Tamandua tetradactyla: one gene and its partners. The protein of the gene in region 1 binds, or shares a complex with, the protein of each later gene. Links are inferred from orthologs where the notes say so. Each region holds a gene or a part of one and is shown on either strand. Other genes may lie near its edges. The genes, in order: ABI1, WASF2 and NCKAP1.

What was found.
Region 2: ABI1 (region 1) and WASF2 share a complex: the UniProt entries of both Homo sapiens proteins name them as parts of the WAVE2 complex. The link is inferred for Tamandua tetradactyla from reciprocal best matches to the Homo sapiens genes ABI1 and WASF2.
Region 3: ABI1 (region 1) and NCKAP1 share a complex: the UniProt entries of both Homo sapiens proteins name them as parts of the WAVE2 complex. The link is inferred for Tamandua tetradactyla from reciprocal best matches to the Homo sapiens genes ABI1 and NCKAP1.

Annotation. Positions count from the first base shown.
Region 1 is NC_135327.1:223,995,246-224,005,446, forward strand, and holds the start of ABI1 (abl interactor 1), read left to right. Parts: upstream 1-6,248; 5' UTR 6,249-6,407; coding exon 6,408-6,524; intron 6,525-10,201. UniProt on the Homo sapiens protein: May act in negative regulation of cell growth and transformation by interacting with nonreceptor tyrosine kinases ABL1 and/or ABL2. May play a role in regulation of EGF-induced Erk pathway activation. Involved in cytoskeletal reorganization and EGFR signaling.
Region 2 is NC_135328.1:198,768,554-198,778,675, reverse strand, and holds the start of WASF2 (actin-binding protein WASF2), read right to left. Parts: upstream 4,647-10,122; 5' UTR 4,478-4,646; intron 1-4,477. UniProt on the Homo sapiens protein: Downstream effector molecule involved in the transmission of signals from tyrosine kinase receptors and small GTPases to the actin cytoskeleton. Promotes formation of actin filaments. Part of the WAVE complex that regulates lamellipodia formation.
Region 3 is NC_135329.1:155,921,026-155,931,847, reverse strand, and holds the start of NCKAP1 (nck-associated protein 1), read left to right. Parts: upstream 1-5,880; 5' UTR 5,881-6,242; coding exon 6,243-6,350; intron 6,351-10,822. UniProt on the Homo sapiens protein: Part of the WAVE complex that regulates lamellipodia formation. The WAVE complex regulates actin filament reorganization via its interaction with the Arp2/3 complex. Actin remodeling activity is regulated by RAC1.

The DNA of each region.
Region 1 (10,201 bases):
TTTCTTTGTGGAAGAAATGGAAATGTCCTCATAGAGATTGTGGTGGTAGATGCACAGTTATGTGATTATACCAGGAACCACTGATTGCTTACTTAGAATGGATTGTATGGTGTGTGAATAAACCTGTTTAAAGATAAACGGAAAGATGCAAGTGCTGGAGAAAATGCGGAGAGAGAGAGATGCTCCTGTTCATTGTTGGTTGGAAGGTAGACTGGTGCAGCCCCCCTGGAGGGCAGGGTGGTGGTTCCACAGGACGCTAACTGTAAGGTTGTTATATGATCTTGCAACCCTGTTATCAGGTACATACATGGAAGAACTGAAAGCAGAGACAAAAATGGACATTTGCACACTGGTGTTTATGATGGCAATATTCATGACTCACAGTGGATTGTGGCTTAAGGGTACATCAACTGATGAACAGTGTGCCGGTTTGAAAGTATTATGTACCCCGGAAAGCCATGTTTTAATCTTGATTCAATCTTGTCAGAGCAACTGTTTCTTTTAATCCTAATTCAATATTGTAGGGCAGAAACTTTTATTAAATTATCTCCATGGAGATGAGACACATCCAATTGTGGATGTTATCTTTGATTAGATGGAAATGTGACTCCACCCATTCCAGGTAGGTCTTGATTAGTTTACTGAAGGTTTTTAAAAGAGGAAACATTTTGCAGAGAGTTCAGAGCAGACAGAGCCTACAGAAATGACAGAAGCTTCAAAACTGACAGAAACTTTACAGCAGAGATGACACCGATGCATCACGTGGAGAACAGAGACATGGATATTTGGAGATAGTTGGAGCCCAGCAAACGTTGCTATGAGATGTTAAGCAAACTAGAACCTAGAGAGGGCCAAGGGAAGCCAAGAGATGAAAGTCAGCCCTGGAGAAGTAAAGTGAGGAACCCCAACAGAAACAGAGGCTGAAAACAACGGAGCCCAGGAGCAAGGGATCAGCAGATGCCAGCCATGTGCCTTCCCAGCTGACAGAGGGCTTCCTGACCCATTGGCCTTTCTTGAGTGAAGGTAACCTCTTGTTGCCTTAATTGGACATTTCCATAGGCTTAGAACTGTAAACTTGTAACTTATTAAATTTCTGTTTTTAAAAGCTGTTCCAGTTTTGTTATATCATTCCAACAGCTTGCAAACTAACAGAAATAGGAAGTGAGAACTGTGGTGTATACATACAATGGACTATTAAGCAGATGCAAGAAGGAATAAATTTGTGAGGCATGCAACTAGGTGAATTAACCTTGAGGACAGTAAGTTGAGTGAAATGAGACAGAAATGAAAAGACAGGCAGTATAATGCCTCACTAATATGGACTAACTATAATGTGCAAACTCTGAGAATTGAACTCAAGAGCATAGCTGATCAGGGGAAAACTTACTGTAAAGGTTCCTAGACTGTTTTACAGAAGTCACATTTATGCCTGAGTTGTAACTTTTATTTCTAAATTCTGAAATGTGGAACACTTTGTATATAACCTGGTTGTTCCCCGGAAATTTGGGTATTTGTGTGATCTCAGACTCAGAGTTAGAGTTCTGCATTTATGAAAGTCAGCATTACCCCACACAGCAACTGTTAAAAATGCTGGAAAAAAGATCAGACTTCAATTAGAGAGATGGATGAAGCAGATCTGATTAGGGCTAAGGTAAATCAGACTAAGGGTAGAAAATGATATTGACTGTATTTTAAAACTTCAGCTTCTGTGTGAGACCAAAGGAAGGGATGTTTATTTGGTGCAAAATTTATGTTTTTTTGTAGCACGCTAACTAATTTAACCTGTAGGGTTAGCTCCTTCTAATAAAATAATTACATAGAACCATGAATTGGGAGTGAGATCTTGTTTGTTTGTTCGGGTCTGTGTGAGGCCTTGTCCAGAGTAATCTGGACAGAAGACAAAAAAATATTTACAAAGTCCTCTTGAGAGATTGGGGGAAAAGGTGGAAATATTAAACTTCCCTGCTTGGGGGAAGACTTGATATTCTTGCAAGCATTGGGGTCTACCAATTTGATAGGCCAAGCTCTTGTTCTTGGGGCTTGCCCTTATGAAACTTAATCCTGCAAACGTAAGCTAACCTTACTTATAATTATGCCTAAGAGTCACCCACAGAGAACCTCTTTTGTTGCTCATATGTGGCCACTTTCTCTACCCCAGCTCTTCAGGTGAGCTCACTGTCCTCCTCCCTACATGGGACATGACTCCCAGGGGTGTCAATCTCCCTGGCAACATGGGACATGATTCCAGGGGATGAGCCTGGCCCTGGTACCATTGGAGTGAGAAAGCCTTCCTTACCAAAAGTGGGAAGAGAAATGAAAGAAAATAAAGTTTCAGTGGCTGAGAGATTTGAAACAGAGTCAAAGGATCATTCTGGAGGTTATTCTTATGTTTTATATAGATACCCCTTTTCAGTTATTGGTGTATTGGGGTAACTAGAGGGAAATGTCTGAAATTGCTGAACTGTAATCCAGTAGCTTTGATGCTTGAAGGTGATTGTATAACTACATACCTTTTGTGGTGTGACCATGTGATTGTGAAAACCTGGTGACTGACTCTCCCTTTATTCAGTGTGTAGATAGATGAGTAAGAAAATAAATACAATAAATAAATAAACAGTAGGTGGAGTGGGAGGGTATGGGATGTTTTGGGTGTTCTTTTTCACTTTTATTTTTATTCTTTTTATTGTTTTTGGAGTAATGAAAATGTTCAAAAACTGATGGTGATGATGAATACACAAATGATACTGGGTACCATTGATTGTATATTTTGTATATTTATTTTATTTGAATATGTAATACATTCACATGATTGAATATTCAAAAGGCTCAACAAGTAGGCTTTGAAAGGATTTTATCTCACATCGGATCTCCAGCCTCCCAGAGGCAACAGATGTTATCACTTTCTTATAGGCCTTCTAGAGATTATATGTACAAACAGTTTTTTTACTTAAATAGATCACATACTGTTCTGCCTCCTTGTTTTTTTTTTATTTCTTTAACCACACATTCCTGAGATCGCTGCATATCATATATTAAAATGTCCTCATTGTTCTGGGGGTGTGAAGGTAGTTCAGTGGTAGAATTCTTGCCTGCCATGCCGGAGACCTGGGTCCAATTCCCAGCCCATGCACTTCCCAAACAAAGCAATCAACAAAAATATGGTATGATTATATGGTATGTGAATATATCTCAATAAAACTGCATTTAAATATATATATGTATGGAGGAGCACTAGGTTCCTCCATATTTTCAGGATCTGTTTTTAAACTTTTTAATCTTTTTTTTAAATCTGTTTATCTATTCATGTCATCACTAAATATTTTTTTTTTTTTTTTTTTTTTTTTTTTTTTTTAAAGGAAAGACAGAGAGAAGGAAGGATAGAAGGCAGGAAGGGAGGAAGAAAGGGAAACATCTTTTAAACATTTTCTTGTTTTATTGTATTTTGTTTCTCCGTTTTTGTTACATGGGCTGGGGCCGGGAATCGAACCGAGGTCCTCTGGCATAGCAGGCAAGCACTTTGCCCGCTGAGCCACCGCGGCCCGCCCATCACTAAATATTTTTAATTATAATAGCTTTTAAATATATTTTCATAACTAAAAGAACTAGTTTCCCTCATGTAAAGAAAACTTGTCATTGCAGTTTGTGGAAATAGTTAAAGATTGAAAACAATGTCTTTCTATAATTATGATACATCCACTTACAAGAATACCAGAAAGAACAATGAGGAAATTTTTTTTTTTGTATGCTGTACGGCAGGGTTTTATTTCATTCTTTTCCCATGTGAGTATCCCGTTATTGCAGCACCATTTGTTGAACTTTTATTTTTGTTGATTGCTTTGTTTGGGAAGTGCATGGGCTGGGAATTGGACCCAGGTCTCCGGCATGGCAGGCAAGAATTCTACCACTGAACTACCTTCACACCCCCAGAACAATGAGGACATTTTAATATATGATATGCAGCGATCTCAGGAATGTGTGGTTAAAGAAATAAAAAAAAAAACAAGGAGGCAGAACAGTATGTGATCTATTTAAGTAAAAAAACTGTTTGTACATATAATCTCTAGAAGGCCTATAAGAAAGTGATAAAATCTGTTGCCTCTGGGAGGCTGGAGATCCGATGTGAGATAAAATCCTTTCAAAGCCTACTTGTTGAGCCTTTTGAATATTCAGTCATGTGAATGTATTACATATTCAAATAAATAAATAAAATTAGGGAAAATTCAGGAGGTCAAAATTTACCCCTGTTTGCTCAAAACTCTTATACAATTCGCTAGGACTTAATTCCTTTCGATCTTGACCTTCCAAGAGCTGCTTTTATGTGAGCATCTACATAGACTTGATAGAGTGTGGTCCAGGTGTTTCACAAACTTTTTTGACTTTGTTGCAGAGTACGAAATATGTTTTCTTATACATTTATTATTTAAAACAAAAACTTCCATTGATTATTACCTTACTGTTGTGTTATGCCCGCTAATATTTTCTTGCCTCTTTTACTTTTTATAATCCTGGTCATGATGCATTATATCGATTTCTTGATCATAGGTATAGAGATTCATTTTGGAAAACACTAGTATATACTATAATTGAATATTTAGAAACATTTTTTACATTATTTCTCACTGATTTCTTTACTCAAATGAGAAAACATATGATACTGGTCAGTTTCAGAATAGCTAAGTCTAAAATTCTTCTGCATCATGTGTAGAAGATTGGAATAAGATACCTATACTGGTAATTTGCCACAAAGAAACAGGCATACATCTAGAAGCAAAGTGCAGTAAACAATGATCTATTCTTTTAAGGGAAAGTAAACAGACAAGGACTGAATCCCATCAACTGAAGTGGACTTTCTGAATTGTTTTGGCAGTGGAAGGTCTTCAGTGGACATTTTATTTAACTTGTCAAAGAATACTCCTGTACATAAAGGAGTTTATAATGCGCCTGATTTAAAAAAGGCTTGGGTTCAATTGTCATTTAAACTAGTGAGATGTTAAGCAGGGAGGCAAGTCCAGGGTACCTATCACTTCAGCAGAAATTTCAGTAAGTCGTAATTACATACATCCCTTCCCCTCAATTGCATTGGTGGGAATTTATGGAAGAGAACCTCTAAGGAAGGTTGAGAAATGTAGTTTACCTGGACGGTCTAGTGGCCAGTAGGAAGGAGAGAACAGATTTGTGAGGGCAAACAAGTTTTCATCACAAAAGCTTACATGCATTGTGTTACTTTGAAAATGTGCTGAATCCTTTACGGTATTTTTGTTACCTCCTTTATTACTTTGAAGGCATAGGTTCTAGCAAGATTATGTAATTTACTTAGGGCCACACAGCTGGTGGATGGCTGAGGTTAGATTTAAAATAAACAAGGGGAGGGACTTCCAGAATGGTGGAGAAGCGACCTCAAAAACTTGCTGATAAAAGCAATAAACAACAAAAATTGCCAAAATCAACTTTTTCACAACTCTGAAAACCACAAGCTTGCAACAATCTGAGGAGCACTTATTCAAGAAAAATAGCTGAAACTCAGTAAGAACAGCAAGTTTTGTGGCGTTTTCATTTGTTTTTCTTCCCTCTCTCCCTCTAGCTCCACAGCAGCCTCTTGAAAACCGACAGCATCACAATCACGACAGCTGTGAAAAGCCAGCAGCTTAGCAGCCACTTGGAGAGGAAAGACAGGTTTTGGAGTGCCTCCAAAAGCCCAATCATTTATCTGGCTGGAGCTCCCTGGAAAAGCCCCATTCTCAGTATTTTTCTTTATCCGACTAGACTGAAAGCTCACTCAGAGCAACAGAATTTAGGAAACTTATCAAAACCAATCAGAAGCAATTGCTTATCGCAGCGTCATCTTTAAGAAGATAAAGATGTGGGGTTTTCCATATTCTATTCCTTTTTAATCCTAATCAGAATCCTTGTTCCAAATTCACTGACGTCCTAATTAGGAAAGTTTCACAGCCTGCCCTGGGAAACGGTTTTATTCTCCAGAATCACCCTGTGGCGCCATCTCCCGGAGCGATAGCAACCTCCGGCCCTAAATCCCCCGCCGCAGGTCAACGTCCTTGATTGACGCCCCACTCCTTCCTTCCCGGAGGTGCCCTGGGCGCATGCGCTTCCGTCGCGACGCCCGTATCTCAGATACTACAATTCCCAGAAGGCGGTGCAGAAGAAGAAATACCAAATCCCGCGGCCTGCGCTCGCTGAACGATCGCGAGAGCAGGAGGTCCGGGAGGCTGCGCGGAGCGAGTGGCGGGGGTGGAGAGGGCGAGGAGGAAGAGGAGGCGGCGCTGTCCCACAATACCAGGCGGGAGGGCGGGCAGGCCGTCGGTATCCGGGCTGCGAGGGGCGCCGAGCTCCGCCGACCGTGCTGCCGCTGTCTCTTTAACGCGAGAGGAAGCGATGCGGAGGGGTGGAAAATGGCAGAGCTGCAGATGTTACTAGACGAGGAGATCCCGTCTGGCAAGAGGGCGCTGATAGAGAGTTACCAGAACCTGACGCGGGTGGCTGACTACTGTGAGAACAACTACATACAGGTGAGGCGCGCGCGGGCGGGCGCTGGTCGGGCCGAGGACCCCGCCGGCCGCGAGTGACCAGCCCCCTGGGCTGAGTGGGAGCTGCCCGACCTCAGCCGTGGCCCCCAGCCCCAGCCCCAGCCCGGCCGCAGCCCCAACCCCGGGCTTAACCTCGGCTCCAGCCTCAGCCGCAGTTCCTACCCCGGTCCCTACCGCAACCGGTCTCCAGCCCCAACCCCGTGTCTGGCTCCAACCTCAGCCCCAACCTCAACCCCAACCCCAGGTTAACCTCGGCTCCAGCCCCAACCTCAGCCCCAGCCCGGCCCCAATCCCAGCCCCAGCCCCAGCCCCAACCCCAACCCCAGCCCCAACCCCAGCCCCAGCCGCAGCCCCAGCCCCAGCCCCAGCCCTAGCCCCAGCCCTAACCCCAATCCCAGCACCGGTCCCATTCCCGGCCCCAACTGCAACCGGTTTCCAGCCCCAGGTCCAACCCCAACCCCAACCCCAACCCCAACCCCAACGCCAATCCCAATCCCAACCCTGGCTCCAGCCCGAATCCAGCTCTAACCCTGGCCCCGGCCCCATTCCCAACCCAGACCCCAACCCCAACTCTGGTCCCAACCTTAGCTCTAACCCCGACTCCAGCCCCAGCCTCAACCCCAGCTCTAATCCAGCCACATCCCCAACCCCAGTTGCAACACCAATCCTGGCCCTAGCTCTAACCCCAGGCCATCGCCCCGGCCCCGGCCCCAACCCTGCCCCTGCCTAGCCCCGCCGGGGAGAGCAAGTGTCGGGGCTGAGGGAGTCGGGCCGCGATACAGGAAGTGGCTGCGGCGGTTGAAACCCAGGAAGGGGAGGGAGAGCAGGGCGCGGGCGTCCCGGGCGGCCGCCTCCGGCGGGCTCGGCCCCTCGGCTCTGCGCGGGGACCGGGTCTGGACGGCGAGGCGGGGGAGCGCGGGGCCGCGCGGGGGAGGAGCGGCGGGGCGTGGGTCGGCAGACCCGGGTGGGGGCGATTATGCAGTTCAACCCAGAGGGTGTGTCTTTTATTTATTTAATTTTTAAAAAATTTGTCATGAGTCACATCACACAGACCTCCCGAGGAGTGGAGGGAGGGGGTGGGGAGTGAGGGAGGACGTTAGAGAGAAGTAAATCTTGAAATTCCTTTAAGTGATGGTTTGCTTTGCCTGCCTGTCCGTTTTCAGGTCTGGTTTGCCCTTCTCATCATTTTCACTTCCGCCCTACCTTGAGTATTTTAGAGATTGTTAGGGCTGTCATTGTGATAAAACATGGATTATTCTTAACTGCTTTGGGGAAAGGTCTTAAATACTCTCCCCAAAAGTTCTCAGGCTGACTTCATGAGTAACTTAAAATAGAATGGTCTAATTGCCGATTGCTCTCTTTTCTGAGGTTGCTCTCTTTTCAGCTTATGTCAGTGTATACAGTATGACTCCAAATAGATTACCCACTACATTTGTTTAGCTTTTGAACCACAACATAAATGATCAATTCTTGAAAATTTATTAGAAAATCCTTGGAACCTTATCTATGACAGATAGTTTTTGTTTGTTGTTGCTGTAACGATTGGAAGCGAATTATGTGTGTGGTAGTTAGGTTTGTAGATCTTTGGGTAGACCGACAGTTTGCAATAGGAGCAAGTCAAGTAGCAGAGCAGTCCTTTGTATCAGTATATTGGCACCAGAAACTCACTTGTTTTTGGTTAAGGCGTTGACCAAAACTCTGTAAGGTTAGAGTTTTTGCAGTTCAGAACTATAGTATTTTTAGATGTGTCTCCCATGTGGTTATCATTTTTAAGAACCAATGTTTCTGTGTTGGCAAATATTTTTCTTCTTTATTTTTAGAGGGAGATACTGTTTTAGAATATTTTGAATATTTGACAATTTCCATATTAGTAACATTGTATCTGCAGTAGTATTGCTAGGAATTTATCTTCATAAAACTTTTCAACCCTTACTTTAGTAATTCTAAGTAAACTTGTTGCATGTTTGTCCACCTACTGTATTACTTGTTTGTGCGAACTTTATATTTAGCCTTAAACATTTTAAAATCTAGTAATGTGGATATAATTAGCAAATAGAAAGGTGATTTTTGTCACTTATCGATATTAAAAACATGCAACTTTTATTCAACTTAATATTAAAAGCGTTAAAATTCAGGTGAACCTTAATTTACTGAAAATTTTAAAGGTTTTGAAAAACAAAGAGCACAGAAAATGAAATTATCCCCATCCCAGACAACTGTAGAAGCAGTGAAAGTAGTAGATAAGTAAGTACAGAAGGGGAGGCTCCTTTTGTTTTGCATGTTGGGAAATCAGACAAGTATATGATGTGGTAACTGCTGCTGCATGTTGGCAACTGTTAGTAGCTGAAGACGTGTGTTAACCTGTCTGCTGACTTTCTTTTTCAGATGCTTGTATGCTGTAAGGCTTTTTTCTCCTCTTTCCTCTCTGTCTCTCTCTCTCTCCTGACCTCTTTCCTTTTCCCCTCCTGCCACCATCATATAACTTTGAAGCACTTGTAAACTTCCTTGGAAATATCCCTAAATTAGATAAATCATGTTATTTTTCATCTCTCATTCTTTAAAATATTGGTACCATGGTACCAAGAGCCTCTGTTAGAGGCCTCTAGTTTTTTTTTTTTTGGTGGCTCTAAACTGGACACTAGTGAGATATCCTGATTTTACTGGAAAGCAACAACCAAAAAACAACCAAACCAGATGAAATTCACATAGCAATGATTGATGACCTTAAACCTTAGTAGCACATTTAAACCTCCCAGCTGCTTGATCAACTGTCTGCCTTCCTGACAGGGTCTTGAACAGGGTGAAGATGATGAAAATTCCTTATCTTTGTGGAAGTAAATGGATCTTTAGGAAGTGATAGGTGGTATGCTTAGGGAAGAAATCATTCTGGAAATATCCTTTGGATATCTGAGACCCTTTGGGATCTTTTCTATCCCTTCTATGATCTTGGTTTGGGTTATAACCAACATACTATGTGAATACCTTATCTCAAGGAAAGTATGCAGCTGTTTGTGTTTTGAGAATTTTTTGTACCCAAGCTGAATTAAATTATTGCCTGGGTGATTTTTATCCTGAGAATTCAGATTTCATTTTGTTGTTTCCAACAGTTTTGAAGTACAGTCCAGTTCATCTAAGGTGTTTAGATGACAAGTTCTTTTGGTTATAGTGCAGTTGAGTCCTTGGATCAGTTTATTTGCTTTTTGCGTTCTGTTGACGTTTATTAAATTGTATTATTGATAGCAAAATGTCTGAAGAGTCCACTGTCTTTAAAAGGACAAGATTTTCAGAGTTTTTATGGGGATTTTTAAATATGAATTTGAAAAAGTCTTTGCCTTGTCTGTCTTTTGTTTGATACTACCAGTTTGAATTTCCTGCAGGGTTGTATCAAAGCCAGTCACTCCTTAACTCAAACACACTTATTCATTTGGCCAATTCCCCTTCTCTTTTGCAGGGTCCATAATCTCAGTGAAGGGAAGGGAAGTTAAGTGAAAAGGAGTAGAAACTGCTTACGAATGGTTTTTCAGGATGTAGCTTGCTGGCTTGGGTAAGGGTGGAAAAGTCTCGCATACAGATTAATTTTTAAAATTAAATTTATTTTTCTGCTGGTGTTCCACCAACAAAAGCTTCATACATAACAAGTATTTTCTCCAAGCTGGGAG
Region 2 (10,122 bases), on another chromosome or scaffold:
TTTTAGAGTTATAAAGTACCTATGCATATGCAGGAACATCAAAAGATATATCTTAGCCAAGAAGCTCAAACATTATCAAGGAAAAATACTGACAAGTCTAACAAGTTCACTATAAAAACAATACTGGCTTCTCTTAGGTGTTAAACTTTTCAGCCATGAGCTTTTCCGAGTAAGTACTTTACAAGATAGTAATATTCCAGTAGTTCTTTATCTAATCTTAATTAGTGGTAGAAATTGAATTTACATAGATCTGCATAAATAATTCAGCTACCTGTACTACTCTAATACATTTAAGTCTAGTAAAATAAAATTTGAACAGAATAAAAATAATGGGGCTATTTCAAAGTTGTCACCTCCTAATTTCCCTCATTTTCTTTCCTATCCAAAAGGCAGAGACAGGAGACCGTAAAGCCTAAAAGAAGGAAGAAAAGGAGAAAATGAATGAACTGAAGGCATTTATACCCACTTCTCTTTACTAGCCCATCACTCCTACCCTTGATACTGTGATTTTTCAACAGGGAGTAATTTTGCCCCCCAGGAGACATTTGACAATGTCTGTCACAATTGGGGAAGTGGTATACTAGCATCCAGTGGCTAGAGACTAGGGATTCTGCTAAACGTCCTACAATTTACAGACCAGCCCCCGAAAATGCATAATTATGTAGCCCAAAAGGTCAACAGTACCAAGACGGTTTAGAAACCCTATGCAAAGGCCCAAGAAAGACCTACCTTTCAGAAAAATAATAATGATTATTTCTCTCATAATAATTTAATATTCTCAGAAGAAGAATAAATGCTTGCTTGTCTGAATCGAAAGGGAAAGACCATAAATTGGGGGAGAAGTTCACAAGAATGAAGCAGAATATAGAGGCCATAATTTAAGCATCATTAGCATTTATTAAGTCTTTACTGCGTGCTGGGCACTGGTCACGCAAAAATGAACCATACGGTGCTGCCCTTAAAGAGCTCACAGTCAGGTGGAGGAGTTTTATAGATTGTCTAATATCAGCTTTCACAAACTGATAAATGCATTAACAAAGGAGAAAACATACAAAAGGGTCACTCAGCTTTTCCCAGGGAAAGCTTCACAGACGACATCTTAGCCCAGTTTTCAAGGATGAATAGGAAGCATCTTATTTCACAGCCTCTTCGCAAACAAAGAGCCATTCATTTCTTCAGTAAACAAAAAGCTACAGAGCACCAATTATGTTCTTGCACTGTGCTAAATGTGGGGAGACCCAGTCAAATCACAACTTTCCATTTCTTCCCTTGGCATGGCTGATGCCCACTGGCCCACTTCCCTCCCCCCCACAAATCACCAAGAATCCTTGAATTTCTACTTATCCCCAATTTCACAACTGCTAACCTAATTATCTTAGGAAGGCCACCACTCAAGGAGAAAACAAAACTTCTAGTTGCCTTTTGATAGACTACATTCAATCCTGCCTGAGAATGGTAATGTTGACAGAATATCCGGCAATGAACTACACCAACCATGGGTCCAGATCTGCCAACCGTTAGATGTGTGCTGTTATCTTAGAAAGCTATTTTACTTTATGAAAAATCTGGGTAAACTCCCACCCTACCCAACCCATGCCAAGACCAATGGCAAATTAAACAAATATTTACTGAACACCTACACTGTGCTTATGTCAATTGTTCTCAACTGGACTGTGTATTGCTGATATCAGAGGTCCTAGGCCAGATAGGTATATTTTTTAAAAGCTCTGTAAGTAATTCTGATGCAAGACAAATTTCATGCTCTGGCCTTTGGGCATTAAGGAATACAAAAGAAATATAAGATACTCTTCCTGTCCTCAAGAGCTTACCCAGCCACACCAGGGTAAATTGGAATAGGATTCTAGTTAACTAAATTTAATCCTTTTGCAATATTATCAGGGCTTATGAAGTTAAAGAGAAGAAACTGGGGCAATTTGGATAGTAATAATTTCCTAGTCCAACTATAGATCAACTCCACCAGTAACTCCTGATACACAGTTCTACACTCCTTCTACCTCCCACACAGTTTAAAGGAACCATTCTCTGGGACTATGGAGTCACTCCAAGAGGGAAGATGAATTAAGGCCCAGAATTAAGGAAAGAATCCCTCAAGTTCATGCTGTCATGGGGCTTCCTCTAAAGAGAAGAAACAATCCTTCATCCTCCAACAATACTAGTTCACATCACTCTACAGTAGAGGTATCCGAGAAAAGCAAAGAGTAGCCTGAGTTTTCTATTTAAAGATTAAACTTGGTTTAAAGTGATGTGTATAGCTGCCAAGTTGACACACGAACCTGACCATGACAAATACTGAGGATGAACCTAGATCTTTACATGCAATAAATTCAAGGCCTTAACTACTGTACACACACAACCCTGGAAAATGAAGCATTAAAAGGACTTTTAATAAATGACGAAAACCAAACACACCATTATGTTGTTTTCCAAGTGATGGCAACATGTGCATTATATAATATCTAGATCATTTCCTCTTAGGTTGAAATCTGACTAAATCACAGTAAAAACACAGCCAAAGATTGAACTGGTAATTATGCTGAGTAAAAGGATCATCTACAATAACTAACTTACTCATTAAAATGTTCTGATTTATTTATAAATTATCTTGGAAGGTTTAAGATTTAAAATCATTTCATTCTAGAGTTCAATTTCTGAAAGTTGACAAATTACAATGGACTTTTTCTGTGAAAGCAGAGCCTCTGACAGAAGCAGCGCGTCAAGATATTTGAAGGGGAAGAGAAGTTTCATAGTTCTTTCCTTCCTTTAGTTGCTGCTTTTCTGGTTTTAGAATTTCAAACAAAGAAATACATATTGGCTTCACTGCTAAGAAACGCCCTTTTTCTCAGCAACTTCCTCTTCCAATTTTCTTCCCCACCATTGACATACGAGAACAATACCCACTGCGGGTCCTATCATTTTGATTAACCAAAAGCTCTGAGGTTTGTAAAAATTAAACGCTGCAATTTATGGTACTCAACTACCCCCACCTCCTCACTTCCCACAGGTTCACAATCTTTGCTCACCTACAAGTCAGGTAAAACAAAGAAACATTATACTCAATCAGAGGCAGGGTATTGAATCTTTCATCCCTCAAATCTAAAGAAATTCGAACTAACAAATAGGAAAAGAGGAAAAGTCTCCCATCCCAAGAAAATGTAGCCTTCTTAAGGAGGAAAGGAAGTTACTGGGCTGGCACAACCCGAATAAAGGATTTGGTTCGTACATGAAGTGCCAGTGAACTTTCTTCTACAGGCCACAAGGCCAGGTTTCAAACTGAGCCCTCTGAGTTTTGATACACTTTAAAGTGACTTATACAACTTAGAAATGGTCCTTTTCTTTTCACAACTGAAGAAAGGGGACGGACTTTTAATAAACCATCTAGGAATCACCACCCAGCCAATCTCCAGGCCAGGAGTCAAATCAAGCACCAGGGCCAGACCCCTCCCCCTCTGTGAGAAAGCAAACTTTCCCACTACTATCTTTTAAATGGGCAGTGACTACCCTTGGCCAGTGATTCAGAGGAAACACTTTAACACTGGTAAGCTCTGCACCTTACTGTGTGACCTTGAGTAAGTTACTTAATTTCTCGGAAATTTTGTTTCCTCGTGTGTAAATTCTCAAGGGTTACTGTAAAAATTAAATAATACATACACATAGTAAGAGGAGCAGCATAAATGTTCTTCTCTCTCCTCCTCCTAACTTCTTCTAGGCCATAAGATCAAATCGCAGCTCCAAGAGGGTCCAAGAACCTCTTCCTCTTCTCTGATTCTATACCCAATTGTATAAAAATTCCCCATTTCAAAGGCTGTACGATTTCTGGAGGGCCAAGACTATCTGGTCCCACTCCATCATGGTCTCTGTGTGGCATCTAGAGCATTGCTGGGGGAACCGCTTGAGCCCACTCTTTTACTCTGCAATCCATCCTACACACACACACACAGACACACAGACACACAGACACACACACACACACACCTTAATGTCCTCTCGACCACTCAGCAACTTAGCAGGCTGGGAGCTCCAGAAATATTTCTTGGTCCTGAAATGGAAATGTAGGCTCAGCCTGGGGAAGAACTTGCTCAATATCTCAGACAACATCCATGTATATCTGTCTGCCTACAAAGCCTCCGTCTTGCAAATGGAGAAAGTAGACTCAGAGAAGGAAGTGACTTGTCCAAGGTCACACAGAAAGTGGCAGAGCCAGCTCAGGCATTTTCGCAGGCTTACAGACCCGGGGCCCCTCCAAGTTTCCTAAGGGAACCCCGAGTTTCCGGCCCCTGGAAGTGAGGAATGTGTAGTAAGAAGTCACCCGGCGCAGATGGCTCGCCCGGTTTCTTCCAGGCCGCAGCAGGAGGCTCGGCACCCACTCCTCCCGGACCCTGCGCTCCCGGGAGCGGAGGATGGGCCGGGTGCCGTGCCGCGGAATGGTGGCGCCCGCCCGAAGGGACTTGTTGCTCACCTGGCCTCGCGCGGGCGCCCTCAGCGACAGAAACGTCGGCCAGCCACCCTGTCTCCGCACAGGGTCTGCTTCAGCCGGCCGTCTCACAGCCTGCCACACAGCCGGACCCCCCTCAGCGCGAAACGCCCCCAGCCGCGCTCGCCCGGCCTGCGTCCGCCATTACGCGATTCCCCGCCCTAGGACGCAGCCACACCCCGCCGACAGCCCTGATTGGTTCTCTGCCCCGCCCTCCTGGGGCTTCGGAGCAGTCCATTGGCTTAAGTGGAATGTCAGTTAAATAAATACGCAAAAGACGCACCCAAGGGTAGAGTCCCGGGAGCTCCACCCGAGCGACTTCCGCAAACGGAGTAAACAGCAGGGAGCAAACCAAGTGAAGTGGGAGTATAGATTAAAGTAAATCAACTCCTAAATACAGGGTAGGAGAATTCCATGTAAGAACGTATAAAAACTCATACAAAGTGTATAGAAATTCTAATTCTTCTTGGTAGAGCTTAAAGGACCAGTATTTTGGGTGGAAGGAAGGGACCAAGTCCGTGAACTTTCTATGTACTCCCCCTCAAGTTGCAGATAGTTTTGTCCCTTTCCTCCGGGTCCAGACTCGGCCGAAAGTAGGGTGGGGATGAGGTTGAGTCACTGGCTCTACCCCGCGATGGAAGGTTTCGCCGTAGGAGAGGCAAGGGCCCCTGGGACTGGGAGCTGGTTCTGAAAGGCCCTTTGTATTGGGTCAGGTGAATTGGACCCAATTCAGTCGCCACTTCACTCTGTGACCACCGACAAGTCCCTGAACTTCATGGTCTCAGTTTGTCCTTCTGCAAAATAGGAACAATCACGCCTGCCTCACTCCCTGGGATGGTTGAGGATTTATGCATAAATGGGTGTGTATGTCCATTGATTATAAAAGGCTGCAGCTGGATAACGAAGTGACAAATTCACAAGTTAGCAAAGATATCTGCGTTGGTTCTCCAGAGCTACCCTGTGTAGGGCAAGTATTGTCCTCGTTTTTGTAGAAGAGAAAACCTAGTCTGGGGATATTTTGACATGCCAAGGGTCCCCTAGGGAATTGGAAACAGCCCTGAGTGAGACTCAACTCTTTGTCTTTAATCTTCCATTCCTTTTTTTCTCCCAGGCTCCGTGTCACCTGAAAAAGACTTCCCTCCCCCATCCCCTAGCCTTCCAGAAAGGGTCTTGGGGAAAGAGGGCAGAATTTCCCACACCTCTTTGGTCACCATAGATTTGGGCCCTAGCTATTGTCAGTCACCAAGATTTGTGGGGAAAAGTGACCTTCAGAATTGGGGACCCTAGGAATCAAGAGTAAAAGACTACTGGCCGCTCAGCAGCCCCGGCAGTATCCCAAATGACACAGAAACTCTGAGAGGGGCAGTGACCCCATTGTGTGCCCTCAGCAAGGCAGCCTTCATGCCAAGACTTAAATCCAGGTCTCTCTGCTCGCACAACAGGCCTTTTTTCACCACAGGATTGTTTTTCCCAGAAGGGCTGTCTTGGCTGTAATCCCTAGTCCCTTTCCCTTTCTAAAAATGAAGAAAGCCAAGAAGGGAGTGAGAAGGGGAGCAGCCTAAAACTTTGGAAGGACAAATCTGGCCAAAAGGGTGTGGTGTCGACAGGGCCCCAGTGCTGTGGACCTCCAGGCTCAACTGGGATGTGTGGTTTGACTACCTGTGACTATTTAAATCCTAACTGTGGCGTTTGGTGCTAGGTGACAGCAGGTGCTATGCAGTATGCAGTGGCTTTGAGGTCAGACTGACTTGAGATTGAATCCAAGTTCTACTGCAGAAAGCAGTACTGACCTTCATCAACTTTTTCTCAAAGGTGGGGATAACAGGGCACTTGTGAGGTTAAATGAGTTAACTGTGAAATCAATGAGCCGTGTGTGTCAAGTGCCCCGTAGTTATATATTCATTCGTGGATGCATTTGTTCAATAAATTATTAAGCACCAACAACATGCAGGGCAGCCTGCCAGTGCTGCAGCCACGATGGTGAATAAAACAGATTTGGACCCTCATGTCGCTTAGAGTCTTGTGAAGAAGAAAGTCTTTGAACAAATGATCACACAAATCAAAATACAGTTAGAAACCGTGATAAGGAGCAAGAAGGCAAACTACAATGTGCTTATGAAAGTGAACTTCTAGAGATGGGGCAGGAGACTTCCCTGGGAAGAGATGTCTAATGTGAAATGGATAAGTGGGGGTTAACAAGACAGGTGGGGAGAAGTTACAGGCCTAGACGTGAAAAGGCATCTAGGCCAATGGACTTGGTGGCAGTGGGGAGGGGCAGGGCTCACAAGACCTTGTGGGACACCAAATTGTTGAAGAATGAGGGTACCTGGCCTTGAAAATTGGGCTATTCTCCAAGGATCTCTGCACTTCTTTTAGAGTCCCTGAAAGAATATCAGCTTTGAGGCAAATCTGCATGGAGCTGAATTTCGACTCTGCCACCTAGGAGTGTGTTGCCTTAAGCAATCATCACATTTTTCTGTGCCTCAGCTACTCTTCTGAGAAATGCAGATAATGATAGCGGGTCATAAGGTGAGGATAACGATTGAATGCAGAAAGGTGTATAAAGCATCCCGGCCCATAAACAGTGCTCAATTTTTCTGGCATGGAGGGAGGTGAGCCTGAGGCAGCAGATCCAGCAGATACATTTGGGAGAAAGCTGTGTGGGGCAGCTATGCACTGGATGAGTTGTCATCTGACTCTAATTGTCTTAAGAGACTGTGGAGCCAGACAAGCCTCAGTTCAAATCCCGGATACACTACTTCCTAGCTGTGTGACCTCGGACAGGTGACTTAGCCTCTTTGAGCCTCCGTTTTACTTATGCATAAAATGGGGATCATAATTGTTTCTGTTTCGGGCGGGCCACGGTGGCTCAGCAGGTAAGAATGCTTGCCTGCCAAGCCCGAGGACCCGGGTTCAATTCCCGGTGCCTGCCCATGTAAAAAATAAAAATAAAAAAATAATTGTTTCTGTTTCCCAAAACTGTGAGAATTAAGTGATATAATAAATGTGAAGCTCCTATTAACTCTAATAATGATTATTATTGTTTTTTTGTTGTTGTTTTTTTTCACATGGGCAGGCACCCGGAATCGAACCCAGGTCCTCTGGCATGGCAGGCGAGCATTCTTTTCTGCTGAGCCACTGTGGCCCACCCATGATTATTATTGTTAATATCAAATTACTACCTGCCCTGGAAATAAAGATCTCGGGCTTTCTTTGAAGGTTGACTGACAACAGGAGTCTCAGTTTCTCCTTTGAGGCAATGGTGATAGACAAGTTGTTTTCAAGGGATGAGCGCATATCAATAGTAATAACAGGCACTAACATTTATTGAGCATTTATTATGGAGCAGGCGTGTGCTGAGTGCTTTACATGTTTTAATTCATTTAATCCCCACAGCCTTCCTGTAAGTTGTCTTGTTGTACTTATCCCCCATTTTATAGATGAGGTAAAAGAGGCACAGAGAGGTTAAGTGACTTGCCTAAAGTCAACCAGTCAGGAATAAGTACAGTTGGGATTCAAACCCAACCAGGAAACTTGAAAGGACTTGCTGCTGCTCTTCTATCCAAGGAGTTAGAGGTGAAATTGTTCCCTGCTCCTGGCAAGTCCCCAGTTTCCCAAGACCAAGCCCTGTTCCTTTTGCACTAAATTTAAAAAATAACCTGTTTTTAATACCTGTTAAAATGCCTGTTAAAAATGCCTGTTCCCTATTCCTGAGGCTGGTAAGAGCAGAGACCAGACCCTCTGCTTCTGCAAGGGGAAGCAAAGGACATTTGGTGTACCAGACTGGGTCTGAATCCCAACTTTGCCACTTATGGCTCTATCTTGGCAAAGTCACACTGCGTCTCTGAGCCTCAGTTTCCTTATCTATGAAAAAAGGATTATAACAGCTCTGCCTACAGGTCCGGTGTGAAGAGCAGAAGAAATTAGGCCTGCATAAAATATGAAATGCAGTCCACGCTGGAGTTCCTCTCATTGTTGCTATGGGGATGGCGATCCCTTCCGGAGGAAAGCAACCTAGGCGAGATAGCAGGCGACTTCAGGTCCCAGCTCTGCCTTTGGCACCCTGTGTAAACCTGGTTCAGCCTCAGTTTCTCCATCTATAAAATGGAGTGACTAATACTGATTTCAAAGAGTTGGAGAGAAAATACTATGAGAGGATGTGCAGAAAGCCAGGAGCCAGCGCCTAGTTCAGAGCTGGCTGAGTGCAGCCTGCTGAGGCATTCCAGGGGGAAGAACCAAACAATGGGTACAGAAAGTCTCTCAATGCTGCGCCCCCACACCCCAATCTAAGGGGAAAAGGATAGAGTGCACTGTGCTTGCAGCCCATGATTGTCGCCCACCACCCTCTCTCTCTTTGCATCCTTAGCTCTTGCTGGGACCACTAGATCTCTCTCTCTCTCTTTCTCTCTCTCTCTCTCTCTCTCTCCTCTCTCTCCTCTCTCTCTCTCTCTCTCTCTCTCTCTCTCTCTCTCTCTCTCTCTCTCCTCTCTCTCCTCTCTCTCTCTCTCTCTCTCTCTCTCTCTCTCTCTCTCTCTCCTCTCTCTCTCTCTCTCTCTCTCTCTCTCTCTCTCTCTCTCTCTCTCTCTCTCCTCTCTCTCTCCTCTCTCTCTCTCTCTCTCTCTCTCTCTCTCTCTCTCTCTCTCTCTCTCTCTCTCTCTCTCTCTCTCTCTCTCTCCTCTCTCTCTCTCTCTCTCTCTCTCTCTCTCTCACTCTCTCTTCATTCTCACAAGTTCTTTTCCACTGAGCAATCCCAGGGGGCCCCAAACCTTGGTTCCAGCCAAGCTTGCAGGCTTTCCCCGCCTCCACATCCTTAATCCATAGCCTTTGCATTTGCCATTCCTTCCACCTGGAATGCTCTCTCCTCCTAGAGCGCCTTTGATGGGGAAGTGGTGGTGGTGATTGGGGGGGGGGGGGTTGCTGGAGAGGAAGGATCCAGAGTGACGCTCCCCTACCTCCTCATTCCCCTCCCCTGCATCCCCCACACTGCATGCCTCACCTCCCCTCTCCCAGCGTGGGGGATGAGGCAGCACGAGGAGGGGGAGGAAAGCGGGGAGGACTCAGTGAAGGGCCCTCTGTGGGGTTTTTCACCTGCTCAGAAGAGGCAGACGGAAATGAAAGCTCTGGAAAAACGCCTGCCGCTCTGCTGCAGCAGCCCCAGCTCAATGAAGCCTCCCGATTCCCATCAAACCATCTCCTCCTCCTCCTCCCGCAGGCAAATGCCTCAGTCAGAGAAGGGGTGGGGGGGGGGGAGGGACACAGCGGGGCCGGAGAGAAATGGGTTCCAATCCCATTGCTGCCATGTACCCAGTGAATGACCCCAGCAAGCTGCTCAACCTGCCTTCACCTCATTTCTTTGTCAAAGGGGACAAGGATCCCTGTCTTTCAGGCTGCCACTAGGACAAATGAGATGCTGAATGAAAGTGCCTGGCATGACAGAGTGCCCAGGTGCATGTTCTCAGCACTTGGCATGGATTAGCCTATTTAATTCTTGATGAGGTAGACACTACTACTCTCCCCATTTTATAGATGAGAAAACTGAGGCTGAGAGAGAGGACATAGCCAGAAAGAGGTGGTGCTTAATCAGTTCTTACCCACTATGGTATGGGGCACTCAGTGACAGTTGCCATGGT
Region 3 (10,822 bases), on another chromosome or scaffold:
AGCTATACCAAATTGCAATCTCTGGCTAAGTCTTAACTTCTCACATCATCTAGTACAGATACTGGGATACTATTGCTCCATCTTTTCTCTATTCTCCTTCTTAAGCATTCTTAGCAGAGTAAATTTTTCATACTTTGTGATCTCTGCCACATAGAAGGACAGAAATGGAAGTACTGCCTTAACAAATATACAGCCTATCCTTTCTATGACCACTGCTAAACTTCAAAATATTCTATCATTCTTTTCCAGAATTCTACACCCAAGGTTGATTCCTTTGTTTATATCATGGTCTGAATATATGCAGTCTTTAAAACAACTTTTGAAATGAGAAGGCCTTACAAAACTCCATTCAATTTGCTACTTATATATGTCTAATCCTTTTTACAATTTGATTAACTTTTCTCTTTCTGCATTCAACTTGTCAGAAAGTAGGAGTTTCCTAAAGGAAGGGCTGGAGGGCAGACAAAAAAATAATGTCTATTCCATTATTAACAAGCTGTACCTAAGAGAAATTTGGTCATATATTTATAGTTATGCTTAGCTAGTGCAACCTGGTTTGAAGTCTGATGGGAGGAAAAATGTTGCATATGTCTTTAAGAATAAGTGGAATATTACCTTTGACAGGAAACGAAGTAATCAACAGTTTTTATCTTAAGACTCCTTGGAGATGACCTTTATCAATTGTTTCTTTCTTGTTCTTGCCTTCCATAGGGGAGCGCCAGATCGGTGGGTTGGCTAAGTGCTTATAAAAAGCAAATGAAAACATTCTTCACTATTATCATAAAGCATTACGGGAATATTTCTCAATCTAGATTCTGGAGAAAGCAAAGTTAAGGAAAGCCAACTAAGAGAGTGGGTTTATCAGGACTATTTATGAAGTTCTGGGTAGGGTTAAGGGAATCTGGAGGGAGCTATAGAATCATATTGATTCGCATTACAAATTTATGCCATCCAATTTTACCTGGTCTTCAGTGCTGCCACAACAGTTAAGAGCATGCATCATGCCGGAATAGATCCCAGTTTAATTTGGGCAGTGAATAAAGAAGTATTTGCAAAATCCCCTTGGGGCACTGGGGAGAAAGGAGGAAATATTCAACTTCTCCATTTGGAGAATTTCTGATATTCTCTCAAGCAGTGGAGACAACCAAATCAATAGGCTGAGCCCTCAATCTTGGGGTTCTCCCCTATGAAACTTATTCTTGCAAAGGATAGGCTAAGCCTACTGAAAATTAGATCTAGGTCACCCCCAGAGAACATCTTTCATTGCTCAGATGTGGCCTCTCTTTCTAAGCCAACTCAGCAGGGGAACTCACTGCCCCCCTACGTGGGACATGACTTCCAGGGGTGTAAAAATCTCCTTGTCTATGTGGGACAGAAATCCCAGGACGAGCCAGGACCGAGCATCACGGGAATGAGAAAGCCTTCCTGACCAAAAGGGGGAAGAAAGAAATGAGACAAAATAAAGTTTCGGTGACTGAGAGATTTCAAACAGAGTCAAGAAGTTATCCTGGAAGTTATTCTCATGCATCATATAGATATTCCTTTTTGGTTTATGGTGTACTGGAGGGAAGTACCTGAAACTGCAGAGCTGTGTTCCAGTAGCCTAGATTTTTGAAGATGATTGTATAAAGACATACCTTTTACAATGTGACTGTGGGATTGTGAAACTTTGTGTCTGTTGCTCCTTTTATGCAGGGTATGGATGACTGAGTAAAAAAATATGGATGAAGGTTAAATAAATAATGGGGGGGGGGTGGATAAAGGGTAAAATAAATTGGGTAGATGGAAAAAAAATCTTAGTGGTCAATGAGAGGGAGGGATAAGGGGTATGGTATGTATGGTTTTTTTTAAAATTTTTATTTCTTTTTTTGGAGTGATGTAAATGTTCAAAAAATGATCATGGTGATGAGTACATAACTATGTGATGATATTGTGGCCATTGAATGTATACCATGTGTGCAATGTTTATGTGTTAAGATTTATCAATTAAAAAAAAAAACAGAACTGGCAATTTCCCACTGAAAAAAAAAGAACTTTGGAGTCAGACTGACAAAGGATCCAGTACCAGCTATATTATTTTCTATGGGTGCAGTCACGAAAATTTAAAAATCTACATGTATTTCCATTTTCTCACCTGTAAATGAAGATGGGTTGTTGAAAGAGGAAAGCTAGAAAGTGTAACTCAAATAGCAGCATTTGCACTAATGCACACTTAGTGCATATCAAATTTAATTATTATTCCTTATTTTATTCCTATTAGAGATATTGTTTTCACAGAAACTATAATTATTTAGGACCAGATTTGGCTGTGAGTAATAGAAAAATCCAAAATAAAAGAATCTTAATAGAACTTTATTTCTCTTACACATAAAATCTAGATCTAGACAAGCTAGGTTTAGTACAGCAACTCTGCTCTGGCAAGCCCACACACAGCTTTCATCTATATGTTCTGCCATAGATGTTCCTTAGCGAGTGGCTCTTGTCTTTAGGGTATAACAGATAGGTTGTTACAACCCTCATTTCATGTGACAGTTGAAGTTGGTAAGAACTGGCAAAGGAGAGCGGCAGCGGTCTTTTATGGGAGGTTCTTGAAAGCTTACATTCTATTGGTCAAAAAAATTAGTCAAATGAACACACTAAGCTGCAACGGAGGCTGGGAAATGTAGTTTTTATTCTATTTCTAAAGAAAAGTACAGAAGATCTGAACAATCCCTGCGACAGCCAGCAACTGTTTCAAATTAGTTTACCTTCCTCAATTTCCCAAAAGTTACCTTTAGTTCTCTCATTTTCCTTGTATTTTTTTAATTAAAAATTTCTCCTACCTTAGCATTTACAGACCTACACATTTTATGCTCTACTTCCCTCTCTAGCTTTATTTCCCTTTTTTTCATGTATGTAATGTACATTCCTGTTATTTTCCTACCATTTTGCATTTGCTGAAGCTGAATTCTCAAGGCCAAGCTCAAATGTAAGTTACTCCAATAGGACTCTTAGAAACCTCAGATTGAAACTGCTCTATCTAGTGGTTCTTCTCTCATAGCCCTGTATCTCAACCTGTCTTATACTAGATTTCTTTATATATATTTCTATACTTACCAGAATGTGAGTCAGAGGATAGCCCCACCCCCCCCAAAAGGATCTGGTTTCATATTTCCTTCTACCATAGTACTCTGTGCATTTTAAGTATTGATTAATGTATTATATAGAATTAGAAAATGTTCTTTAAATATCCAGGATTGTTACTATAAATATTTAATGTTTTATACAATGTTTTATACTGCATATTAAAAACTGCAGGCAAGAGATTGCTTTCTGAAATTTTACATGAGTAGAGTTTTATAATTGAATTGTAAAATATATTTGGTACTATATAATGTAATTCTATTGTAAGTTCTTATAAACCCCATCCTCTTGATGTCGTTAGAGTGGGAACCTTTGTACTTGTGCTGACAGATATCATTTTTCAAACACAGATATATAATAAAATCAGATGTATTGAGGTATAATTAACATACAATAATATTCACCTCTTTTTAGACATACTGGCCTATAGTAGTTAACTCTCATATTTAACTTTCTAGGATTAGTTCAAATATAGCTATCATTTACTTTCTACATGTCTCCAAAGACTTATACTAATTTTGATGATCTCTGAATGTGTTCTTGGGACAAAGAACAGAAATCTCAACTGAAATGAACTATTTGAAAATCTTTAGTACCAAAGGAATGGTGAAGGTTATGCTTTGCATGATAAAAGAAACAAAAGCTATAATCACGCTTTTTAAAACTCAGTTTTAAATCATTTTAGAAATGTATGCTTTTCCAGGAAACTAGAGCAGGAAAAAACATCCACATGAGCAATTTTTTCATAAATTTACTAGACTGATTCATGTGGTATGACATTTTCAGATTGAAAAACCAAAAGGAAACATAAAATGACATATACTAATTACAACTACTATAAAATCATATTAATATGGCAAAATATATGATTATAACCTTAGGACTGATCATGTACAAATGTCAAAGGACTTGGGCCTTATATAGAGAAATGCAAGATTGTAAATATTTCATCTAGATCTAATTTTACTCAAGTAGATATATTCAATAACACTCTATGGTCAATATTTCTAGCAATTAGTTATAATAAAAATTGAATAATGAGAATAGCGTTCTTGCTTTTTAGGGTACTCTTGGAGTTATAAACAGCTACAAGTGTGTTCATGTTCATATTGAAACATGATAGAGGCGTTTCTTGAGGAATAAGAAACCATTTTCTGCCATTTTCTCTCTGCGCAGCTCTTAAAAAATACTAGAAAATGAGATAATCTTTCATAAGTGGGTCTTTGTAATTATGCCTCTGGCTAACTTTGTGGTGTCTTTTGAGAGTACAATGTTTCATCAAAGTTCAGCCCTTTCTGAAAATTTTCTTTTCTGGCTGGCACAAATAACTCAATGCAGACCCTCTTCCCAGGTCTGCTGTTACCACTCAAGATTGTTGGCTCTGCTAAATTAAAAACTTAACTATGTGGTTGGAAAGTAATCAGAGAGATTAAATCCCCTTAATATGTTTATGACAGATTACAGCTCAATAGATGACCCTTCTGAGGTGATTGTATTTAAAAATAAAAAGAAAAAAGGACTTTTTAGATACAAAGTCTTTTTTCAAGATAGTACATCTGTAAGTACAGCATAAAATTTCAAGCACAATGGCAGGTATTACATAAAGATTTTTGTATTTGGTAAGTGTAGGGTTCTTTTCAATGCCCCTTAAATCACCCATTTAGTCCAGTCTCTCTTGCTGGGATAGTAAAATGCAGATTTCCATAGGAATAGTTGATATACTAGCTTTAAAAAATGTTTTAAAAGCTATTCGTTTCAATTTCCTTTTCATAAGGTGTTTTAACAATTCAAAGATAGCTTATTTATTCATAGAATGCCTTTTATTGAAGGTGGCAGAACATTTTGTCATTGACTTAAAGTTAATGAATATAAACGTAATCTAAAAGACTAACACATTGAAAGAAGGTAGGGCCAAAAATATCAAAGCGGTTTGAGTTCTCTTGGGTGGAATTCCCCACTTCAATCAATTATATAAGCCTATGATTCGTTCACTTTTGGAACCATATCTAATATATTGACCGAAGGAGTGGCGTTGGAGTATGGCTGAGAAGAATGTTTCCCAAAAAACGGGTGGGATTTGTGGTGCAGGCCGGGAAAAAACTGGGAGCGTTCCTACATTCATTGAACAAGCGTTTATTCTGTGCCTCCCACGTACCAGAGCCTCTCTATTAGCTTCTCCGGATGGGTGCTCCCTTTCGACAAACTCTAGATTCTGATTATCTCAGGAACTTGAGTTGCCCCCATTTCCGCCGTCCTCCCGCATAAACTGGCTTAAGGCCGAGAAGTAAGAACGGGATGGGGAGCTTGGAGAGGCAATGCTCGCCTCGCGGAGCACAACATCTGCTGTGTTCTGCGGGGAGCGTCTGTCAAGCAGTGGGAGGAAAGGCGCTTGGAACCACCAGCCCACTCTCAGGAAAAACTAGCCTGAAAAATACATCACTCCCCACCCTCGGTGCTTCTGTCGGTTTATTTGGCCTGGAAGAGGGGGGGGGGCACGGAAACGCAACTTTTGCTGCCACTTTGGGAACTTTAAGAAGGGTGTGCGGCGCGAAGAAACTTCGGTCCCCACTTAGGACTCCCTTCCCGGAATAGGGAAGAGGCAGGGGTCCGGGTTCGGCCCTGGTCCTGGTCCGGAATCCGAGCAGCGGCGGCGAGGCCGGGAGGGGAGGGCCAGTGTCCGCTGGGCGCTGTTCCCCGTCCAGCCTCGCGGGGGCGCCGGCGCGCCGGATCAGGTGACCGAGCGCTGGTCTGGGGCTGCGGGAAACGGCCTCGTTCTCAGCCGCGGGAGACGCCGCCGTCGCCGCCACACCTAGTGGAGGAGCAGGGGAAGGCGGCTCGGTGGGGGCTGGGACGGAGAGCACAGGGGGGTGGGGACGGAAGGGCGACCGGCGGAAAGCCAGAGGCAACCAGGGCGAGGGCTGCTGCGGGAGAAGGGGGCCCCGAGGCGTCAACCGCGGCTCGTTCTGTCGCCGGCGCGAGATTGGGGCGCGAGGGCCATGGGCGCGCTCCCTTGAGGCGGAGGTCGCGGGCGGGAGGGGAGGAGGCCCGAGAGCGGGAGCTGCGGAGGCCGCGGGCCGGTGACTGGGCGCTAGGCGGCCGGCGGCGGCGGTACCACCACGATGTCGCGCTCCGTGCTGCAGCCCAGTCAGCAGAAGCTGGCGGAGAAGCTCACCATTCTGAACGACCGGGGCGTCGGCATGCTCACCCGCCTCTACAACATCAAGAAGGTGCGCACGGGCCGAAGAGGCCGCGGCGGGCGGGACAGGAGGGATGGCAGGGGAGGCCCGGGGAGGTGGGGGCGGCGGGCGGCGCCTTGGGCAGAAATCTCGGCATCGCGGCGTCAGGCCTGGCCGGGAGTCGCCGGGATGCGCCGCGGCCTATTGCGGAGTCCCGGGAGCCTTCCCGGTAGCTCATGGGCTGACCGTAGGCAAAGAGAAGCCATTTCCCGGTTCACAGCAGCGAGATCCGGCGCCGGCCCGGCACTGCGTTCCCGGGCTCCGCTGCCCCCGGCTCTTGCGCGCCTCCGCCCCTGCGACGGGGTCAACAGGAAGAAGAGCCCTCTGGGTGGGCGAGATTTTAGGGGGATTGGGAAACTTCGGCGTTGTGTAACTGAGGCTGAATGGTAGGTATCTGGCGAAGATGGTAGCGCAAATGGGATTACACCCCACCTCTCAGAGAGTGTTTATTTGGTGTGTGGGAATGTGGGAAGGGAATGGCTAATCAGGATGACCCGCCACCCCTCCACTCTGCCACTTTATTCTGGATTGCCAAGTAAAAGCTTTTAGAGAGGGTATTGACAAGTTGGCATTATTTCATTTTTTGAAGTGCAGAGGAGGGGTAGGTGAGGGTGGAACAAATTTTCTTCTAAAATACTTCTGGGCTGTGAGTCACAAGAACAGGAATAACAACCTTTTCTCCCCTCCCACTTTACTCCTCCTCATTTTAGTTTTCCCAACCCGGTTTGACGTTACTAAAACACTGTTCTTTAAAGTTCGGTGTCAGTGCAAAATAAAAACCGCAAATAAGTTGCTATTACTGCTGAATTATAACATTCTGATAATGTGAGTGAATATAGCTAATAGACCCACCGAAACTATTTACATGTCTTCAGCAGATTAAGGAATAAAAGGCTGAGTTATAGTTAAGACAAACAGATGTAAAGATAGAACAAAGATTACATTCATTATTTTAGGAAGCCTTTCCTTTTTAAGAAATTTTTTTTCTTTTGAGGAAAGGTTGGCACGTTTTAAGAATTTGATTGAAAATTAGAGATTTTGTGTACAATCTAAATCTTTTTAATTTCCTAAGTACGTTTCGTGTTATATCTTCTTGATTATTTTTGTTGGCTTTTTAATAGATCAGGAATTTTCCGTTTTAGTTTAATCATAGCAATAAGCAATAGAATTGTTATGCTTGCGAGTTAGGGCTGCTGCAAAAAGATTATATGTTGAAAATTCTTATTGTGGAGTTCAAGCATAAAAATGATTTATTTCTACAATTTGATGTAGACACCATAATTCTAAAAGGGTAGACTTCCCTGGCTTCCTAATGATAAATTCTAACTGCTCCTCCAGTTGCTTACGTGGATGCAAAGATTGACTCTAAATCCTGTGCAATCTGGATTATAACTGCAACATGCCTGTGCAATTTGTTACATTTTATGTGGCAGAAACTGTCACTACAAGGAAGACTTCCATATTTACTAAGATGCTTTGGTTATAAATTTATATAGGTTAGAAATAATTTTATTTTAGATAACATTACTTATCTTACTCAAAGGTTGCATTGACCTGAACTTTTTATGAGATTATGCTCTTAGAACAAATTCGAAATTGGTTTCTATATGAACTTTGTCCAAAAAACTGGCAAATCAAACATTACTGAAAGTTGCTAGACTTGTGGTATTGTGGTTAAAGGAAATGGTTATGATGGTTTTGTGAAGAGGAAGTGAGAGTAACATCAAAAGTGATTAGGGTGTTTTGGCAAAATACCGTTTTGTAAGCATTCATTAAACATCTTTACTCTGTAAATGCAACGAAACTTGACGTACTCCACCTACATAAATTAAGTAAGATTCTACTGAATTCTAAGTATCTGAACTCAATTATAATCCCAGAAGACAGTTCGCTGCCTTTTCTCAAAAGCAGTATTTTTTTTTTCACTTCCTGTTTTGAGAAGTGAAAACTTTTCGGGTTCTCTTATTGTTGAACTAGTGAAATTTAAAATGAGTTGAATGTGATCATTATTATTAAGTTACAAATATTTCAGCACTTAACACATTTATAGTTGGAAAATATTTTATCAGTTTATCTGATTGTACGTTCCCTCATAATCGATCTCTCTGGGGAGGGACAGTGTTATTCATCTTTGAATTACTAGTACTTAGGGCCTTAACCAGCAATGGTGCATGAGGCCTTCAGTAAGGCCTTGTTGAAATGAATTAATACAACAACAAAAATATATACCTTGCTCCAATTTTAATTGGAGCTCTGTTTGCTCTTGTATAATTTTTCGAACAAAGCATCATCTATATTTTTGATCTTTTAGACTCTAGAGTAAGCTAGACCCCAAGAACTTGGCAGGGATTGAAACATTTGTTCAAAAATCTTGCCAAAAGAGTGAATAAGATCTGTTCGTCATGTGTTTATAAGGTGCATGCTGTCTGCAATCTTACTGATACTATAACTACGTAATTTTTTCAATCACAAGTTTATAGCCCTTGAAAAAAAAACTGTACCTCATAATATATATCTGCAAATTAATTGTCAACGTTTTCATTAATGTATTTATTCATTAAATTGTGTATGAGATCTTATTATCCTGTTTCAATTGGAAGTTGCTCTGGAAATTATATTTTAGTGAGTATGTACAATGAAAATACTTCAGTGACCTAAGTAACTCTCTTCTTCAATTAGTAAATAATAACATGCTTTCACATTTATAAGGGGAACATAAGGCCACTAAAAACTTTTTAAAGAGAATTTCATCAGTCAAAAAAATTTTTGATATCTTAATATGTACCAGTTTTGGGAATTTTAAAGGAATATGTAATCTAACTGGGAATGTGAGAAGACTGTACAGAAGGATTTTAGAGAAGAGTCATGAAGGGAGTAGACAGTTTTTTTTTTTTTGCATAGTCCCGGCACCGGGAATCAAACCCGGGTCTCGCCCACCCAACAGTTTTAACTTAAATTTATTTGTTCCTTAATTCCTAAAAGTTTTAATTTTTATTAAAAATAAATACCTTCTCCCTTTCTAGACATGTTACTCATATGTAGTGATGATTTTCAACTATCTTCAGGCTACGTTTATATCTGTTACTTGTGGTATGGCAGGCAGTTAAGAGCGCTGGGACTTTGCCAGGAGTTAGGAGACTTGCATTCCAATCTTCATTTGGTCACTGAGAATTTTTTAACCTTGGGTCAGTGACTTGGCTTTCTTGAGCTTTGCTTTGCCTCATCTGTAAAATGGGGGAAATTAATTTTAATAGGTGCACTAAAGTCTTTTTTGGCTCTTATTATTTTATCTTTAGAAGTTCATGGTGAAGTAATAAGTAGAAGTTATGGCTCATTTTACACAGTAACTGGGTTCAGTATAATTTTCTGTAAAATAGGAATTTTTTTCCCTCCTTTACAGGTTTGTTTGTGAAAATAAAAGGCAATAATAAATGTGAAAATAGTTTAAAACTGTTAAGATTGTAAGATAGAATTTATTTAGGTGCCTGAGCAGCTTTTTTGGGGAGGCAACATTTATTTCTCTGAAATTTTGCTGCTGTTAAACTCCCAAATCCCAAAACAAAATATTTTGCTGAATTTAAAAATATTTCTTCTGTACCATTTAGTCTTCCCTTTTTTTCTGTCTCCTTTCTTTTCCTGTACCATCACCAGCATGAGTTTCATAACTCTGTAACAAAAAGGACTCAGTCAATGCTAGTACCTAACTATTGCAAACTTTTAAAAATGGATTATTTTTATTTTTAATTTTTTTTTTAATATTTTTATTGACAAAACAACATACAAACATTCTTAACATAGTAACATTCCATACATGGTGTGCAGTCAGTGGTTTATAGTATCATTACATAGTTGTGTGTTCATCACCATGATTATTTTTGAACATTTGTATCACTCCAGAGAAAGAAAGAAAAAGAAAAAACTCATACATACCATATCCCTTATCCCTCCCTCTCTTTGACCATTAGTATTTCCATCTACCCAATATATTTTAACCTTTGTTCCCCCTATTATTTGTTTATTTTATCCACATTTTTTACTCATCTGTCCATACCCTAAATAAAGGGAACGTCAGATACAAGGTTTTCACAATCACACAGTCACATTTTAAATGTTATATCTTCATACAATCATCTTCAAGAAACAAGACTACTGGAGCACAGCTCTACAGTTTCAGGTACTTTCCTTTAGCCACTCAAATACACCATAAACTAAAAAGGGATATCTATATAATTTGTGCAAATAACCTCCAGGATAATCTCTTGACTCTGTTTGAAATCTCTCAGCTACTGACACTTTTATGTTTTTCTCATTTCTCTCTTCCTCCTTTTGGTCAATAAGGTTTTCTCAATCCCTTAATGCTGAGTTCCAGTTCATCCTGGGATTTCTGTCCCACTTTGCCAGGGAGGTTTACACCCCTGGGAGTCATATCTCACGTAGGAGGGGAGGGCAGTGAGTTTCCTTGC